4 linked regions of the Schizosaccharomyces pombe genome follow. The main gene of each other region encodes a partner of the protein of the gene in region 4 in a complex. Each region holds a gene or a part of one and is shown on either strand. Other genes may lie near its edges.

Region 1 (4,170 bases), 2.4 Mb from region 4:
CAACATCTATATTAAACCTGGTGCACGTGTTTTATATCTTGGTGCTGCTAACGGTACATCCGTTTCTCACGTTGCTGATGTTGTTGGTCCTGAGGGTCTTGTCTACGCTGTTGAGTTTTCTCATCGTTCTGGACGTGATCTTCTTAACATGGCTAAAAAGCGCACGAATGTCATCCCCATTGTTGAGGATGCTCGCCATGTTCAAAAGTATCGTATGTTAGTCGGAATGGTTGACGTTGTTTTTGCAGACGTTGCTCAACCCGATCAGGCTCGTATCGTTGCTTTGAACGCCGCCGCCTTTTTGAAAAACGAAGGTGGAGTTGTTATCTCTGTTAAGGCTTCTTGTATTGATTCTACCGCTGATGCAGCTGTTGTTTTTGCTCGTGAGGTTAAGAAAATGCAAGAGGAAAAGATTAAACCTCAAGAACAACTTACTTTAGAGCCTTACGAACGTGATCACTGTATCATCGTAGGAAAATACTTGAGACATCAGTAAACAGAAATATATGCCATAAGTGCATGCTTTTTTAGTTTATCATATAATTTTTTTTGCTAGAAAAGCTTATGGTAAGGCCGTGAGCAATTGGAATAATAAAAATATATTTTGGGTATGCGTTTGGCAGTTTTGTCAATTATTTTCTCATTGTTTGATCCAATATGGGAATTATGGAATATATATTAATGCCGTTAGCATTCTTTTTTTTGAACTATCGTACGCACAGCTACCGAAAAAGAGTTTTAGTATGAGTATTTAAAATGGCTATCATTATTTTTAGCTGCTAAAAAGAGTTATGTGCTTTATCGCATGCTAAAACATAACAGGGTCTTTGAAATAAATCATCTTATTATAATACTGAAAAAACTTAGTAGACATAAAGAACAATATTTAATTTATGTAACCTTTGGGATTATAAATAAGGATAAGTCTTATAATTCCAAAGGGGAGTTTTACGTCTTCCTTTTGCAGCAAAAGATATCCCATTATTGTATTCTGAAGGCAACTTGAAATAGTTTTCTAAATCTTTAAAGTGATATTCATGGGATTTGCTCCATTTTGGATTTTTGGTCTTTGTAATAAGTTGAGCATTAACACCTTCAACAAAATCAGGCTGTTTAAGCATATAATAGGAAACGATATGATCATAGTAAAATGCTTCAGATATACTCCACTTAGCAGCAGACTTAATAAGTCGATTGGTAACAGCAATTGAAGTCGGAGATTTGCTATACAATGTTTTAACGGTAGATTTTGCAAATTCCGCTAAAGCACTAGTGTTTGAAGCATATTCTTTTAACGCACGAATAATATCAACGGTATCATTTTTGCAGAAGCATTTATTAATGACATCCATAACGTCTGGAGTAAAAGTGGGTGGTGAACTGCTAGCAAATTCGGCAAATTCCAGGATTGTATTATTGATTTTAGAAATATCAGACGTGTTTAACTCTGCAAGCCTGTCCTCCAAATGAGGAAACATATGCTTCGGAACGAAATGAGTTGCAATTCCAGTACGCAGGCAATCATATCCTTTTACGATTTGAGATGTCAATCCCAGATAAGTTCCAAAGTATCCTGGTAGTCTACTGAAGAAGAAACTGGCAGCCACGTCAGTAAAATAGCCAATTCCGGTTTCTGGCATAGCAAACATCGTATCTTCACACGCAATACGGAAAGGAACATGCATAGCCAAACCAGATCCACCTCCCATGGTGATGCCATTCATCAAAGCCACAACTGGTTTCTGGTATGTAGCTAACGTATGGCTTAATCGATACTCTTGAGCAAATGCATGGCGAACTTCAGGTAATTTTCCATCTTGTATTGAAAGTGCTGCAGCTTTAATGTCACCTCCCGAACTAAAAGAGCGACCATTTCCTTTAAGAATAATTACCTTGGCCAGATTTGATTCTTCTAATGAAACTAGCTTTGGTAGGATTGAATCTATCATGTCAACGTTGATAGCGTTCAATACTTTTGGCCTGTTTAAAGTAAATATCCTTGCTCCATTTTTACTCTCGTATAAAACTGTATCATTTGAGGAAGTGCTATAAAATTTTGGATTTCGAATAAACGCTCTAGACATGGTGCTACTTGCATTCAAAGAAAGGAAATTTGACACACTTGTTTTAAGTAAGGATTGCCTTAACATAAATCCAGATTTTTTCAAATCGTTAGAGATATTTAATTTCAATCCCATGAAAGCTAACCAAGTTAAATAACACCGATTATTTTTGCATAGACGGTTAACGTCTCTTCTACGTTACTTTATAACGAAGTGTGTTCTTAATTGTGAACTAATAACAAATCACAAAAGACCATTCGTAAAACAAAGTAGGTTTCCATGCATTAGCTGGGCAAATACTTGTCTCAAAAAATCTATATTTAGTATTAATTTAGTTTCTCAGGGTTTGTCGATTTTAAAAGTCTTAAACCACTTGTTGCATAGCATTGAGTACTCAAAACTGTTATTGTAATACACAGGTGCTATTTGCAACAACAATTTAAGGTGTCAGAATGAGCAAATTCCAAATATTTAATGTACGACATCACATAGTATAAATAATTATTTCTTCTATTTTAGGTAATGAATGAGATATCATTAATTTATCTAACAGTATACAGTCATAAAGTTCCTGTTGCATAAAACAACGTAATTTAATGAACTCGATACTTTACGCTTTACGATACTTTTGAATGCACAATATGTTATAATGAAATGCATTGTGATACTTAGTACATTGTGTTAGACTAATTGAAAGTAAAATACATCCATTCTTCAGGTACTAGTCGTCCATTTCACAAACTAATCAGAATGACAGCAAAAATGTTGCACTTGGTGCGATATAAATTTCCGTCGTTGGAGCCCGCGAGTCTTTTTCTTATTCCCGGAAGTTTCCTGCAAGAAAGATTTCGTCGAGATATTTTGCATCGTGCCGTTATTTATGAAGCAGATAATGACCGTCAAGGCACTGCTAGCTCAAAGCGCCGAAATGAAATTACTTGTTCCGGTCGAAAACTTTATCGACAAAAAGGTACAGGACATGCACGGGTAGGCGATGCCTCAAGTCCTATAAGAAGAGGTGGTGCTAAATCACATGGTCCTAAGCCTAGAGATTTCAGTACAAAATTACAAACCCAAGTTTATAATTTAGCAATGAGGATTGCGCTAAGTACAAGATTTATTAATAATGAACTGACCATCCTTGAAAATCCCATCAACTTAAGTCAACCAAAAACACGGATTTTGCTTGAAGTTTTGAAGCAACACAAGTTAGGACACGAGTACGGGAAGGCACTTTTTGTCCTTAACGATAATTACTTTGAAGATGAGTCCCTTAAAAATAATAATTTATTGCTTGCATCTAGACAGTTAGGCTACCATTGCTCCTTTATTCCTGTTGGTGAGTTTCAGGTTCGAGATGCACTAAAATTCGGTAAACTATTTATTGATTCTGAAGCCATGTCGTTAATTGTAGAGAAGTTTGCTCAACGAAATACACTAAGTGATATGGATCAACCTGCTTCCCTGACTGCTTATGTTGATGCAAATAGTAGTTCTTTTACGAAATCAAAACCTGAACCGTCTTTATCTCTATGATATGAAATAAACGCATATCTTTCAATTGTTTTTGAATTTCATGAATCTACATTTTCCGATTTTGGTAGTTACGGAAACATTATAATCCACAATCATTAATTCTTTTTTCAATCCTTTCTCTTGTCGTGTTTAAATTTTTTAATTTCGGCTTATTTAGTTTACTGTCTTGATTAGTTACCTCTTGGTTAACAATGGCTGGCATGTTCCGTATTCCTATTGCCGTCGTTCAGATTGCTGCATTTGTGCATCAAATTCATGAGTATCTTTTTCAAGTGCAAATGACATCGGGTCCAAGTATGATGCCAACATTAAATTCTGGGTATTGAAATAACGCTTTGTATTTATGGTTCTAACTTAAAAAGTGGTGAATTCGTTTTGTTAGATAAATTGCATGGTAGGTTTGCTCGTTCATGTTCTGTAGGAGATGTTGTTGTTTCGGCAAAACCTTCCGATTCAAAGCAACACGTGTGCAAACGAATCATTGGAATGGTGAGTATTTCACATGGAACGTTATCCTTTTTGTACTAATTTTATAGCCAGGAGATACAATTTATGTCGATCCCACCTCTTC
Region 2 (3,693 bases), 550 kb from region 4:
GATAGAAAAACATGATGTGAAGTTGGAGAATATTGACATTGAAAGTGTTCCGGGAAGTTGGGAACTTCCTCAAGGTATTCGTGCTTCCATCGCCCGCAATACATATGATGCTGTTATTGGCATTGGCGTTTTAATCAAAGGTTCCACCATGCATTTTGAATATATTTCAGAAGCTGTTGTTCATGGTCTTATGCGCGTTGGCCTTGATTCAGGTGTTCCCGTCATTCTAGGTCTATTAACAGTTTTAAATGAAGAGCAAGCTCTTTATCGTGCAGGTTTGAATGGTGGCCATAACCATGGAAATGATTGGGGATCAGCTGCTGTAGAGATGGGATTGAAAGCTTTGTATTAATTAAGTTGAATCCTTTGCTCATTTTTTTGTTAATAAAATATGCTACTGACTGTTTTGCTCTTCGAAAGGACCTACTGACATGCTAAAGCTTTAGTCATGATCCTTTATACATTGTCGCTTTCTTATGAGCACCGTCTTAGTTGAACAAGTATGTTTTTCATTCAATCGTTTGCAACGTATTTTCATGATTCCCCAGTTTGTTAAGATATACAGCTATGGGTTAATGTATACGATGTTTTAAATTTGCTTAAGACTTAATCCCAACTTATTATGTTTTGTAAGCTTTATTTTGAATATATTACTGTCTATATGCATCTTGTTCAATCACTTGCCCTTTTTACAAAAAAAGATGTTACAGAAGTATTATTGACATAGTTGTAAACAAATTTAAAGGCATTGAATGCTGGGAGCAGGAAACATGGTACTACAAGAGTAGTTTTCTTTTAGAAATGAATGTGATTTGAGACTCTTCTGATGCACAATCTACAATTTGCAACATTACGTAGCCATTGTGAATGTAAAAATTTCCAGTTAAAATCGATATCGGTGTATACAGGTAATTGGCAAGTTAAGAAAGAGCGGTCAATCACCGATTTACAATATTCATGACCACCGCGAAAGACTTATCACAATGGATCAATCGAAATCATTAGGAATCATCAAAAATTAATGGGGATTTTTTATTTACTCTTTCGAAATCTCCGATGCTGGGCTCATACGGTTGGCTGTGCTTAAGATTTTTATGATTTCAAAGCGTTTAGTCGCTGACCGAGGCCTACATGGCTGTATTGTAACTGCATCTCCAACATTACAATTTAAATCATCTTGAACCATATAGTTTTGATATTGGGTGACATACTTTTTCACCACTGGATGGAACTTTTCTTTTGCAACCCGCACTTTCGCTGTTTTTGGCATTGCACGAGAAATCACGATTCCCACATAATTTAGCTTCATTCTTCAGAGTAATTTTAGGATTAAACAAGAAAAGTAAGTAAGTCTAATCCTTTAAATACCCACAATAACTAAGTTATCAATGCGCACCGTTTTAGCAGTAGAGAGTTTTGACATTGCCCTATTTACAAATGTGCAATGAAGCGGCGTCTTTTCCCTTATAATTATTTAACATAAATAAGCTTTCCTTAAGTCAATTAATGATAATATATAAATGTGATAAACAACATAACGAGGATCGGAAAAGTATGTGTATTTTATTTTAAAGTACTTTATGGTAGGGTGACTTTGTAGAGAAGAAGAACGAGGGTTATTGACACTGTGTTTTCGCCATGTTTGACGACCCATCTAAGAGACTGACATATTTTGAATATGCTGTCGGTGTTCTTTTATGTTCATGGCCTGTTATGAAACAGGCTGTTGAAGAAGAATGGGCCGATGTCGATACCGCCGATAAACGAGACTGGATGGCAGGAGTTTTAGTTGATTATATTACAGTTACGAGCGATGTGGAAGCATGGGACGTTGAAGAATTGATTCTTCAAGTCCTGCAGGATGAATTCAATGTTGGTTCAATAGAAGACGACTCACCCTATATCGTAAGTATTCACCAATACTAAATTAGGTAAAGATTTTTTTCAAACAAGAAAGAACGTAACAAGCTTGCTTGAGACTGAAGATTCGTATATATATATTGGCACCGAAAAAATGATTTAAGTTTGAGGACGAAATATTGGAATATTAGTCAAAAGCTCGAGTTTATACACATATTGCGTTCTGTTGTCTATATTAAAAATTTTTTACTTCTATTAGCATTTAAAATAATTATCAAGTGATACGTCTATTAACAGTCTATTTAGTTGGCTCAAGATTTGGTTAATGTGTGGAAAGCTGCTTGCGAAGATAATTATGAACCTATTCGTGAAATCCATGAGCGTCTCGGAAAACAATTGCTTGAAAAGGAGGAAGGAAAGGAAAAAACTAGAGAAGAGTCAAATCCTCCGGTATTGGTAGAAGACGAAACGATTGTTGATGCTGAGGATGGAGGAGCTGCTCAAAATCAGCAGGAAAAGCAGCAGGGACCCATTGTTGATGATGATGGATTCACCGTTGTCCAGAAAAGACGTCGTTAAAGAGGATGTACTATTCTTATATCTTTTGGTATCATTAAATGAGCATTATTGCTGGGAGCAATTGGTTTTATCTTTTTTGTATTTTGGGGGATAATAAAAATTCAAGTTTTTGGTTTGAAAATTGAAAATTGGGATCGAAATAACTCTTATATTTTTTAAGCCTTTGTAATCCGTGTCATAAGAAGATGTAGTTAAAAGTATAGAAGAACGTGATCCGCCAAAATACGAATACGAGTTAAATTGAGCAGCTTTTTCACTTCTCAAATTTTTAATACTTGTTTTTTATGAGATTAGGCTGTAAATAGAGTGTATTTTAGTCATGCAGACGTAAAAAGGCGCAAAATACATTCTTTCATGAATCGAATGGTTGTACATAAATATGTATTATTTTACTAGTCATTGATCCTTTAAAACTCAACTGCAATTCTGGCTTTCGATCCATGTTTTCCTCCTCTTCAGCAGTATTTGGTAGTGCAAAATTTCTAGCAGTTTCGATGATTGCATGGCTTTGGACCGATTCACTCGTAATATCCACTACTCTTTTCTCGTAGAGCGTGCGGATGGATCCTTGGTTGAGAAATGCAACTGCATGCAATTCACGCTGTAGGGAAAAAAGGAAAGCCCGAATATCAAGGTCTTCTTTTGTTTTAAAATGAATTCGAACGTGACACAACAAGTTATGCCTCAACCTCACAATTTTCTCAACAGAACACATTTGCACCTTGGTGTCTGGTTAGATACGGGAGGATGGTCAACCATAGCCAAAAAAAGCAAATGACAAAACTCTTTGAATTTCTCAATACTCCATGTATTAAGTTAAATTATATACAACAAAAGACGACTTATAAATTTCAATTCTAAGATGGGAATACAGTCAAGTAAATGAGTCGTAAACATAACGACTTTTTAGGAATGCTATTTATTATTTATTTTTTAACTAGCCAAGTAGTTAAGTATATGAACAACAATAATCCTTCAAAAGAGAGAATCTAACAACAAATAAATATATCGAGATGTAAACGATCAAAATGGTGTCTTTTTCATTATAGCAAACGAGCAGACATTAGGGCTAAAAGTATTGTGAAAAGTAGTTGTGACCAACATATTATCTTTTCGATTAAAGCAAAAGTTTTTCAAAAAAAAAAAAGATAATACCGTTCGCCTAGCAAACATCACTTGCCATCTATCCACTGCTGTTGGCTTGAGGTATTAATCAAAATTACAGATCAAATTCAACAGCAAAGATGACATTCC
Region 3 (5,216 bases), 2.5 Mb from region 4:
ATTATGCATCAATTTGAACCACAACTTTAGGCTGTTTTAACTTCTCGTTCATCACCTTTTTGTCGGTGTTTATGCTCTGCTTTTCGGATATCGCCCTTAGGAGTTCAAACGATCTATTGCGGCAATCAATTTTGAGCACCGTATCTAGTGATAACAAATTATCTTTATCGGTTAAGCACGTTATTGCAGCTGCTTCAGTATGTACACATTTCACTATTTAGCAAAAATAAGATGAAACAAATGATACTACTAAGAGGTTATAATCATATCAGACTGTTTAACCATTCTTTTGTCATTTGCAATAAACACAAAATTTATAAAAGTGGTAGTATTCTTGTTAATCATCTACGTACTGTATTTAATTTGTTGTACCATAAGCCAACTCGAAATATTTTACCATCACACTGTTCTACTTTGCCCACTACACATATACAACAACACAGCGGGATAGCCCTAATTTTTAACGAAGTTAAAAAGAAGTTTGAGGGAATTTAAAATGATTCGTCTTCAAAAGTTTGGTGAAATTGTTGGGACCAGTCGTTCTTGGAAACTTCTTAGTTCAACCATCGCAAAGCGCTATTCTTCTTCTTCCAATGGAGTGAAGGAAATGACCGTTCGTGATGCTTTGAACAGTGCAATGGAAGAAGAAATGAAACGTGACGATCGTGTCTTCTTGATTGGCGAAGAGGTTGCGCAATACAATGGTGCTTATAAGATATCTAGAGGTTTATTAGACAAGTTTGGTCCTAAACGTGTTATCGACACTCCCATTACTGAAATGGGTTTTACTGGTTTGGCAACAGGTGCTGCTTTTGCTGGTTTACGTCCTATTTGTGAGTTTATGACTTTCAATTTTTCCATGCAGGCTATCGATCATATCGTTAACTCGGCCGCCAGAACCCTGTACATGTCTGGTGGTATTCAGGCTTGTCCTATTGTCTTCCGTGGACCTAATGGGCCTGCCGCTGCAGTTGCTGCTCAGCATTCTCAACACTTTGCTCCATGGTATGGTAGTATCCCTGGTCTTAAAGTAGTTTCTCCTTACTCAGCAGAAGATGCTCGTGGTTTGTTGAAGGCTGCTATTCGTGATCCTAATCCCGTTGTTGTACTTGAAAACGAAATTCTTTATGGTAAAACCTTTCCAATTTCGAAAGAAGCGTTGAGCGAGGACTTTGTGCTTCCCTTTGGCCTTGCTAAGGTGGAGCGCCCCGGTAAAGATATCACCATCGTTGGTGAGTCTATTTCTGTTGTTACTGCTTTAGAAGCAGCTGACAAGCTCAAGGCTGACTATGGTGTTGAAGCTGAAGTTATAAACTTGCGTAGTATTCGTCCTTTAGACATCAATACTATCGCGGCCAGTGTTAAGAAGACAAATCGTATTGTGACTGTTGACCAGGCATATAGTCAACATGGTATTGGTAGTGAAATTGCTGCTCAAATTATGGAGTCTGACGCATTTGATTATCTTGATGCTCCTGTTGAACGTGTAAGTATGGCAGATGTTCCCATGCCTTATAGTCATCCTGTTGAGGCTGCTTCTGTCCCAAATGCCGATGTTGTTGTTGCTGCTGCTAAAAAATGCTTGTATATTAAATAACAAGCTCAATTGTTGAGTCATCTGTTTAATAAAACCCGCTCTTTTCCCTTTTCCGAATAGTTGATATCTACGTATTTCGCTTTCTATTATTTTTACATTATCTACAAAGTGTAAATATCTAAGATGCTTGTCTTTAATGACTCAGATTATTGTGTGTGGGTCTTAGATGGTTTTAATTTCTTTGCAATTATTTGCGAAGATATGATTTTTCCAACCATCTTTCCAATTGGTTATCCGGGTTGGTATATCTACCTTTCAGGATAGTTTTGCTTCGTTTATCCTTAATATATGTTATATTGTATATATTACTAAATTCGTGTAAGTTTTTTAACGTAATCTGAAAGCCAGTGAACTTCAATTATATTATATTACAGCTAATGGAAATAATACGCTATATGAATATGTTCAACTATTTGGTGTCTATTATACTCTACTTAACTACTCGTAACCTCTTAAAGCGTAGAATATTAAGTACTTGATCCCACTAAACCTATTTACAGGTCTATCTTTAGTCAATGCACCAAAATGTTTCCATGTGGGGTTGATGAACTACTTATCCCACATCATCCGCTGTAGTATATCTAAGTAGACTTGCGCTAATAATACTTACAATAACAGAATTTCAGAATCCTTGCAGATGAAATCATAGTAGTGTCTTTAGCCTTATTATTGTTGTTTTTATTTCGTTTTGCCTTTAACTTTAAGCAACCACATTCCCTAGGAGCCTTCCCTAATTTTTGGTATAAAATCATGGCTAGCAAAGCAATCCTGGAAGAATTAAATATTCTCTCATCAAAAATATTTGGCACTCAGTATAAATCAAACAACTCGAGAACGGGTCGCAAATTTGTAGTACAAGAGCTGAAGGGAGCAAAACTGAAGAGCTACTATCCCGCAACTATCAATTATCGTCAATTAAGGACCCTTTTAAATGATAAAACATTTCCCGATAGTGATGAGGAATTGCGAATGGAAATCAGGAAAGGGTATGTTAGTTGTTAATTGAGATTGAATGTTTCTTTCACAAGAAATTAGCTAATTAAAATACTAGGAGAATACGCCAAGGAAAAGGAGCCTCCAAGTCAAAAAGTATGTAAAGCTTACTATAAAACCGAATTAGGAACCTTCTAACTCCTGTTTAGAAAAATAAATAATTGAAAATTGTGCCTTTCTAATACTTTGCGGTTACATTTCGCACATTTTCTTTCCAATTATTATCAAATGGGTAACGGCTAAACAGCTTTGAACGAAACTGATAAACTAAGTTTAATTATAAAAATTTTGTTGTTTCATAAACAAAAAATATTATATATCAACTGTGTGCAACAATACTTAACATTTTGATCAGTCGTAAGGAAATTTTTTCTGATGAAAAAGAAGATCTCGCAGTTTTCTAATAGATATTCTTTTGGTCGGAAGCATAGCGTACTGGATATTGTAGAGTTGCTCAGCAGGTATCGCTGGAACTGGGCAACCTACGAGCAAACTAATCAAAGTAGTTTTTGAAAGGTAATGCGAAATTAACCTACGCGCCAGTTTCCGATAATGCTCAAACATGGATCCAAGAGACATCGGTTTGGAGTTGCAATTGAGATATAGCGTTGCGAAGCCGTCTTGTTTTAATGGTTCAAAGCTGACTATCTCAAAATTCAGCCCACTTGGTATTCTATAAGGATCTTTAATTCGTAACATTGTAACAAATAATGGGAAGTGATTCAGGAAGGCTAACATAGTTTCACAGATTGCCAAGCATGTCATCACGGATACTCGTGTTAATGCAAATGCTGCATAGAAAACATATATTGTAGGTAAGAAGAATATTAGTACCGTAAAAAGGATTGTTCCTAAAAGTAGTTGGTCTAAATCATACTCATATGAGTCGATTCTATTTCGTAAAACGTTTCTTTTTTTTCCTCGAAAAAGCTGCAGCAAACTATAAATTACACGTAGCTGCCAATTATACAAACGTGATGAAGCCAAATAAAGCAAATGTATATGAATAGTCATAACACTTAAAAAATCAGAAATTAAAGCGATCATTAAACTAGCACCCCCAAACCCAGAAATAGCGACAACTTGAACCAAAAATGGAGTCCAAGGCAAACAATGCAAAAGAAAATTACTCCATACGTCAATAACCCATACAGAAAGCTTCATAATAAACTTGCAAATGTCGTTGTTTAGTTTTAATCCAGCAGGAGTATCCACGAGCCATATAACCATAGAACGAACGTTTTTTATCGCATACTCGAATGTGATATTTTCTATTAATTTTACCACCAGATGAAGATTCTCTAAAATAAATGAACTCATTGTAATCCCAAAGATCATGTCATTCGCAACCAACCAAAGGTTGTTATAGAATCTAATATATTCTTTGTAATCCTCTATCGCAACGCGCTTGCTTTTCCGAAAAACCCATAATTTCATATATTGTACAGGCCAAAAACACGCTTGTTGCAACCTCAAATCTACTTGACGAGCAGAAACGAAAATATCCATCATATTATAAGATAAAGGAATCGGTCGGTAATTAATCGCCAAGAGTATAACCTCATTAATTATCCTCAATAATATGATAAAGTAAGCAAACAGCGAATTAAAAAAATAAAAGGTTGATGACGAGACACGATCAAAAAGTCGAAAAACATATGAATTTTTTTTGTTATTATTTTCATGTGTTAACATGCGAACCTCGAAGGATTGATTAAGAAGCTCAATTAAGCCTGAGCGTAGACTCCTTTTCCAGCTATTTTCTTTGCGTCGGGGAAAGTGCAATTTCAATTTTTTTAACAGTATTTGCTGGTGTTGCATGCTTTCGTATTCAGGGTTTGACTTGTTAATAAAACTATCTTTTAACAATAAAAGCGATAGAGGTTCAAGGGAAAGAAATTGCATTTTTCTTGGCTGCGGAGGATGATAATAAATTATATGCAGATTTATTTTTAAAGGCGTACTAGCCGAATCGAAAACTCGGGGATGAGAAAGCTCAGTCGATTGCTGCACTTTGATCCAACAATCAATTTCATATTTGTCACCCGGCAAAATATCGGCAGAGCAATTAAACGTGCCTAATATACACAGAGATTTAATATCTACTGATTGATCTTGATTTTTGCAATAATCAACTAAAAAATTAGCGAAGGATTGATAACTAGTAATTGTTGTCACAACGATAAGATCGTTGGTAGAGTACTTCCAACCAACTAAGTAACCAGAATCGGTATAAGAGATCGTACTTTTGGGCCAATATATCCGTTTCACTTCAATTGGAGCCGAAGCTATATTCATGGTTGTGGTAGACATTTGAAATATAATATTGAATGCTCTGAAGTCAATTCCGAAGTGTTTAATAAAAAAGACAAACAAGTAATAACAGACTTTAGAAGCATACAAAAAACTTTTGTTAAGAAAAATATAACAGGAGATGATACTGCTCTCTCCGGTGTTTAGAACTCAAGTTGTAAAATCAAAAACTTCCTCGACGTAAAAGCTGTTCCCTTGCAGAAATGCCACCGCTAACTGACGTTGAGTTACGAGCTTCGGATTCAGCGATTCGTTCTAAAAGAATGAAAATAAAAAATCCTAAAACGGTAAACAGTAGTACGTATGAAGGAAC
Region 4 (3,844 bases):
GAAAATTTAAGCGTGAAACCACTACCACAATTGACTGGGAATACTAGGGGTTTTTGGCAAAAATTGGATAGATGCCAGGACGCTTCTTGGAAAAGAAGGATGCCCTAAACAAGGCAAGAAGTGTTTTGTTCTGGTGAAGTGCGTTTGAGTGTTGAGTCGTTACAAACATCAACAGAAGTCCCCTTTAATCTACCATTGGTTAAAATTCAGATGATCTACGCTCGATCTAATGAATAAGCGAACGCTAATGAATGTATACTGAGTTTTGTAATTAAGGATGCCGTGTTTGAATGCACTAATGAATAGTGGTAGCGCTCCATCGTATATTGTGAGCTATGGCCAATATGCGTAATTAGTTCTAGCTGGATGAAAGAGTAAATAATCAGAAATCTATTAAGGAAGTGATAAATTACTTTATGGTATGCAGTGCACAATAATGGGACTTATAGTCATCTGGTAATTAAGCAAAAAATGATTCTGTAAATGGATATTTTCGGTATTATTTTAATTTCCGTTGACAGAAATGTAAAATGGATGGTTATCATTTCATTGCTCAAATCCAAGATTAATGAAAATTCAGCGGTAAGCATATTTGGTTGTTACACGTTGAGAGTCGGTTTACTCATGACGATTATAATAAGATAAAGGGATACAACCATCAAATTGCTGCTACATGGCCAATAATAAAAAAATCATTTGCAATACGAAAGGAAACGAATTCATTTATTATAACATGCAGAAGTAATAACTTCCTGCGACCAGCATTAGTTTGAATAAATAGAGTAACAAACTCATCGATTTAACTAAGAAAATTGTTATAGGCTAGCAAAACAGAATAGTAATATTAGAGGGTAATGCAAACATTAAGCTCAATCTCGCAGTATTGTCAAACTGAAAAGATAAAAGAAGGTAGAGACAGTTATTAGACAATAAATCCTGTTAAGTAGAAAATCATAAGATAGGGGAGGGGTTAAGCAAAGATACCAGGAAAAATTTAGAAATGACAAAACAAAAAACGAATATTTCCCAAAAATGTCTAGCTCTTAAATCCGCGGAGAAGTAAAAAGCAATATATTATTTTACTTCAAAAGGGGGTTTTCGAGCATTCTCGTCTTAAATGAAAAGCTATGAGAACAACGATCTCCAAATACATTAATTTAATATGGATTTTCGTAACCAAGAAATAGAATGAAATGTTCGAAGAATCACTCAATAACCCCAACGACGCATGTTCTTTGCTAAGTTTACAAGTCGAACAATTCCAGCGCGGAACCTTGCCCTGTGTCTTTCTGAACGAACGCGGGATCGCTTTTCGGATGGTTTTTCATAAAATCTCTGTGAACGGAATAGCCTTGGCACATTATTCCTTTGACATATTCTATCAACTTGTCGAAATGCTCTTGTTAGACTATTTCCAACTGTCACACTTGCACCTAAATCTTTTGTTTCTGCTGCGGGTATCATAAAATGAAGCGAATCTTGGAACGCACCATGCTCCTCTAAATATCAATAAAGTATTAGCAGACAATAATCCAACAATCGAAAATCATATTCTTGAAAGACAATAGCAACTTCAATGGATTTTCTTCGTACCTTTTCTCTTTTGCAATTTCCTATTTGTATGTACCCATCTGACCCCTAGAACACCTGGGAAATAAGAACTGTTCATTTTAAATAGTTATTTTGCGTTTTCTTGGCAATTTGAGAAGCCTGAATCTCACCGCAGTACAACTGCATAAAGAATTCGTTAAATTGCCTTGAACATCGATTTTTTGCATTAGCGTAAAAGACATAAAATTCATAAACTAAAAATAGGATAATCACATTTACACTTCACTATATACCTTTACATGATACACATGAATCTGTTTTCCTCCAACAACTATGCAGCGGCAGAATACGCGTAAGTAATTTCAATTTCATTGCTAAAGAATTTATCTAATTTTATTTAGAGGCTGCCGGTATGCCAATGATGCCACAGGTTCCTATGGTTGGCAACGGCGTTCCATATGTCGTCCCAATCCAACCTGTATTCGCCCCTTTACCTCCTGATTACAGGAGCTTATACAAAAAATTGTATGGCCAAGGCGCTTTTTTGGTAGATAATCCTGTTGAGGCAAGTAGTCCCTATGATTTTTCGCAGCCAATTCTGAAGTTTGGTAAACTTCCCATAAAACAAGTTTTAAGAGATAATGAATCGCAACAAAAAGATAGAAAAAACTTACCCCGAAATCAAAAAAGTAATGAGATTCAGGAGAAACAGACGTTTCAAACACCTTCTTCAGAGAAGTCTACAACAGAAAGGGAATCGCGGCCGTTTGTCCCTCCAAATAGTCAACAAATGCGGCGGATGCTCTTTATTGGTAATATACCGAAAGAATTGGATGATTTTTGGATGGATAAAATTCTTCGATTGTCCGGGAAGCTGGCTTCTTGGCGAAGGGTTGCTGATGCAGATAACTCGATGACTTCGTTTGGATTTGCAGAGTTTGAATCAAATGAACAATTCAGTAGAGCATTAGAAGCATTAAATGATTTTGTTGTTCCACCTTTGTACGAAGGTGGTCCTTCAACTCGCTTGTCATTGATTACAGATGTTGAGAATGAGGGATTGTATCGTGAATGGCAAACGAGTCGTTATGCAAGAAATAAGCAGAAAGAGATAAACATTTTACAGCAAATTCGCTTTAACCTCGAAAGAATTTGTCAAGATATAGGCAATTTTGATGTCCGTTCTCGCATTGAAAGGGCAGCTCGACAGGCCCGAGAGAAAAACGAAAAATTACTACAAAATGTCAAAACTTCGGAAATTCCCATTAATGCTGCTGATTTAGAAGGAATTAATCCTGAATTATTACCGGTTATTGAAGAAGAAATACGATCCTTTCGCGATCAATCTGCTATGAAAAAACGAGAAAAACAAAGGTCTAAGGACGAGTATGCCAGTTTATATAAAGAGTATACACGAAAAGAACAAGAAAAGCTTCGAAAGCAAAATGATGATTTACAAAACCTTTTGTCAAAACATCGTATTTCACGTATCCCTATGTCTACAGTCAATGCCTTTTTAAGAGCAGAAGATAGCATTCCCGAGTCGTTCTCCGATGAACAAGCTTATTATGAAGAGAAGAGAAGGAAGGATCAATTGGAGGCTGAAGAGTATTACGCAAGGGAACGGCGCTGGATGAATCGTGAAAAGGCCCGAACTGCAGCTTTAGAACGAGAAGCTGCTCGTGAAGAAGAAGAACGTGTTAATAACACTTCCTTTGGTACTTATCTTTCGGAAAAATTAGCTTCTTTTGATGACGATGAGGAAGCTCGCGTATCTCGAGACGAATATTTTGTCGATCGTGCTGCTTGGATTAGACATCGTGCAGTTGCTCGTGCTCGAGAAGAAGACGCAGATGCTCTTGACAGAAAGGAGGAAGAAAGAGAACTACGTACCCGTGGAGAAGGTGCAACCGTTGAGACAGAGAATTATGTCGAAAATGGTAAGCTGGTGACTAGTGAAATGCCTCAACATGAAAATGGTCCCTTCAAAATCAAAATACAAACCAAGAAACCAGCTGTTCCTTCTGAAAGACGAGAATTTGGACTTCCGGAGAGACTGCTTTTGGAAGAAGAAGACGAAGAACCGCAAGGCTATTCTCCCAACCCTCAAAAACCAAAGCCTGCTATGGAAGAAAATGATGCCGAGAAGACGAAAAGACTTCGTTCACTTATTGAAAAGATACCTGTTGAAGCAGAAAGTCTGTGGGCACTACCAATTGACTGGAGCAAGGTTACTGAGGTTTGTGATTTTTTCAACTTTTATATGTATCTAAACTAACACATTATAGGATCT

What was found.
Region 1: mrp21 (region 4) and snr1 share a complex: the UniProt entries of both Schizosaccharomyces pombe proteins name them as parts of the mitochondrial small ribosomal subunit.
Region 2: mrp21 (region 4) and mrps17 share a complex: the UniProt entries of both Schizosaccharomyces pombe proteins name them as parts of the mitochondrial small ribosomal subunit.
Region 3: mrp21 (region 4) and rsm27 share a complex: the UniProt entries of both Schizosaccharomyces pombe proteins name them as parts of the mitochondrial small ribosomal subunit.

Annotation. Positions count from the first base shown.
Region 1 is NC_003423.3:2,979,090-2,983,259, reverse strand, and holds snr1 (mitochondrial 37S ribosomal protein mS47 ), read right to left. Parts: upstream 2,259-4,170; 5' UTR 2,199-2,258; coding exon 909-2,198; 3' UTR 820-908; downstream 1-819. Other genes in the region: fib1 (fibrillarin, rRNA and histone methyltransferase), read left to right, coding at 1-496; yml6 (mitochondrial 54S ribosomal protein uL4m), read left to right, coding at 2,814-3,599; mmp1 (endopeptidase catalytic subunit), read left to right, coding at 3,791-3,918, 3,962-4,088, 4,136-4,170. UniProt on the Schizosaccharomyces pombe protein: Component of the mitochondrial ribosome (mitoribosome), a dedicated translation machinery responsible for the synthesis of mitochondrial genome-encoded proteins, including at least some of the essential transmembrane subunits of the mitochondrial respiratory chain.
Region 2 is NC_003423.3:1,165,896-1,169,588, forward strand, and holds mrps17 (mitochondrial 37S ribosomal protein uS17m), read right to left. Parts: upstream 1,403-3,693; 5' UTR 1,310-1,402; coding exon 1,037-1,309; 3' UTR 625-1,036; downstream 1-624. Other genes in the region: rib4 (6,7-dimethyl-8-ribityllumazine synthase), read left to right, coding at 1-352; rRNA processing protein Tsr2, read left to right, coding at 1,639-1,905, 2,167-2,439; DNA recombination protein Saw1, read right to left, coding at 2,792-3,154; protein duc2, read right to left, coding at 3,659-3,693. UniProt on the Schizosaccharomyces pombe protein: Component of the mitochondrial ribosome (mitoribosome), a dedicated translation machinery responsible for the synthesis of mitochondrial genome-encoded proteins, including at least some of the essential transmembrane subunits of the mitochondrial respiratory chain.
Region 3 is NC_003423.3:3,070,047-3,075,262, forward strand, and holds rsm27 (mitochondrial 37S ribosomal protein mS33), read left to right. Parts: upstream 1-2,207; 5' UTR 2,208-2,347; coding exon 2,348-2,583; intron 2,584-2,648; coding exon 2,649-2,686; intron 2,687-2,739; coding exon 2,740-2,747; 3' UTR 2,748-2,941; downstream 2,942-5,216. Other genes in the region: pyruvate dehydrogenase e1 component beta subunit Pdb1, read left to right, coding at 497-1,597; gpi1 (pig-Q), read right to left, coding at 2,942-4,903. UniProt on the Schizosaccharomyces pombe protein: Component of the mitochondrial ribosome (mitoribosome), a dedicated translation machinery responsible for the synthesis of mitochondrial genome-encoded proteins, including at least some of the essential transmembrane subunits of the mitochondrial respiratory chain.
Region 4 is NC_003423.3:616,470-620,313, forward strand, and holds mrp21 (mitochondrial 37S ribosomal protein bS21m), read right to left. Parts: upstream 1,705-3,844; 5' UTR 1,670-1,704; coding exon 1,594-1,669; intron 1,500-1,593; coding exon 1,210-1,499; 3' UTR 722-1,209; downstream 1-721. Other genes in the region: U1 snRNP-associated protein Usp107, read left to right, coding at 1,885-1,903, 1,953-3,790, 3,840-3,844. UniProt on the Schizosaccharomyces pombe protein: Component of the mitochondrial ribosome (mitoribosome), a dedicated translation machinery responsible for the synthesis of mitochondrial genome-encoded proteins, including at least some of the essential transmembrane subunits of the mitochondrial respiratory chain.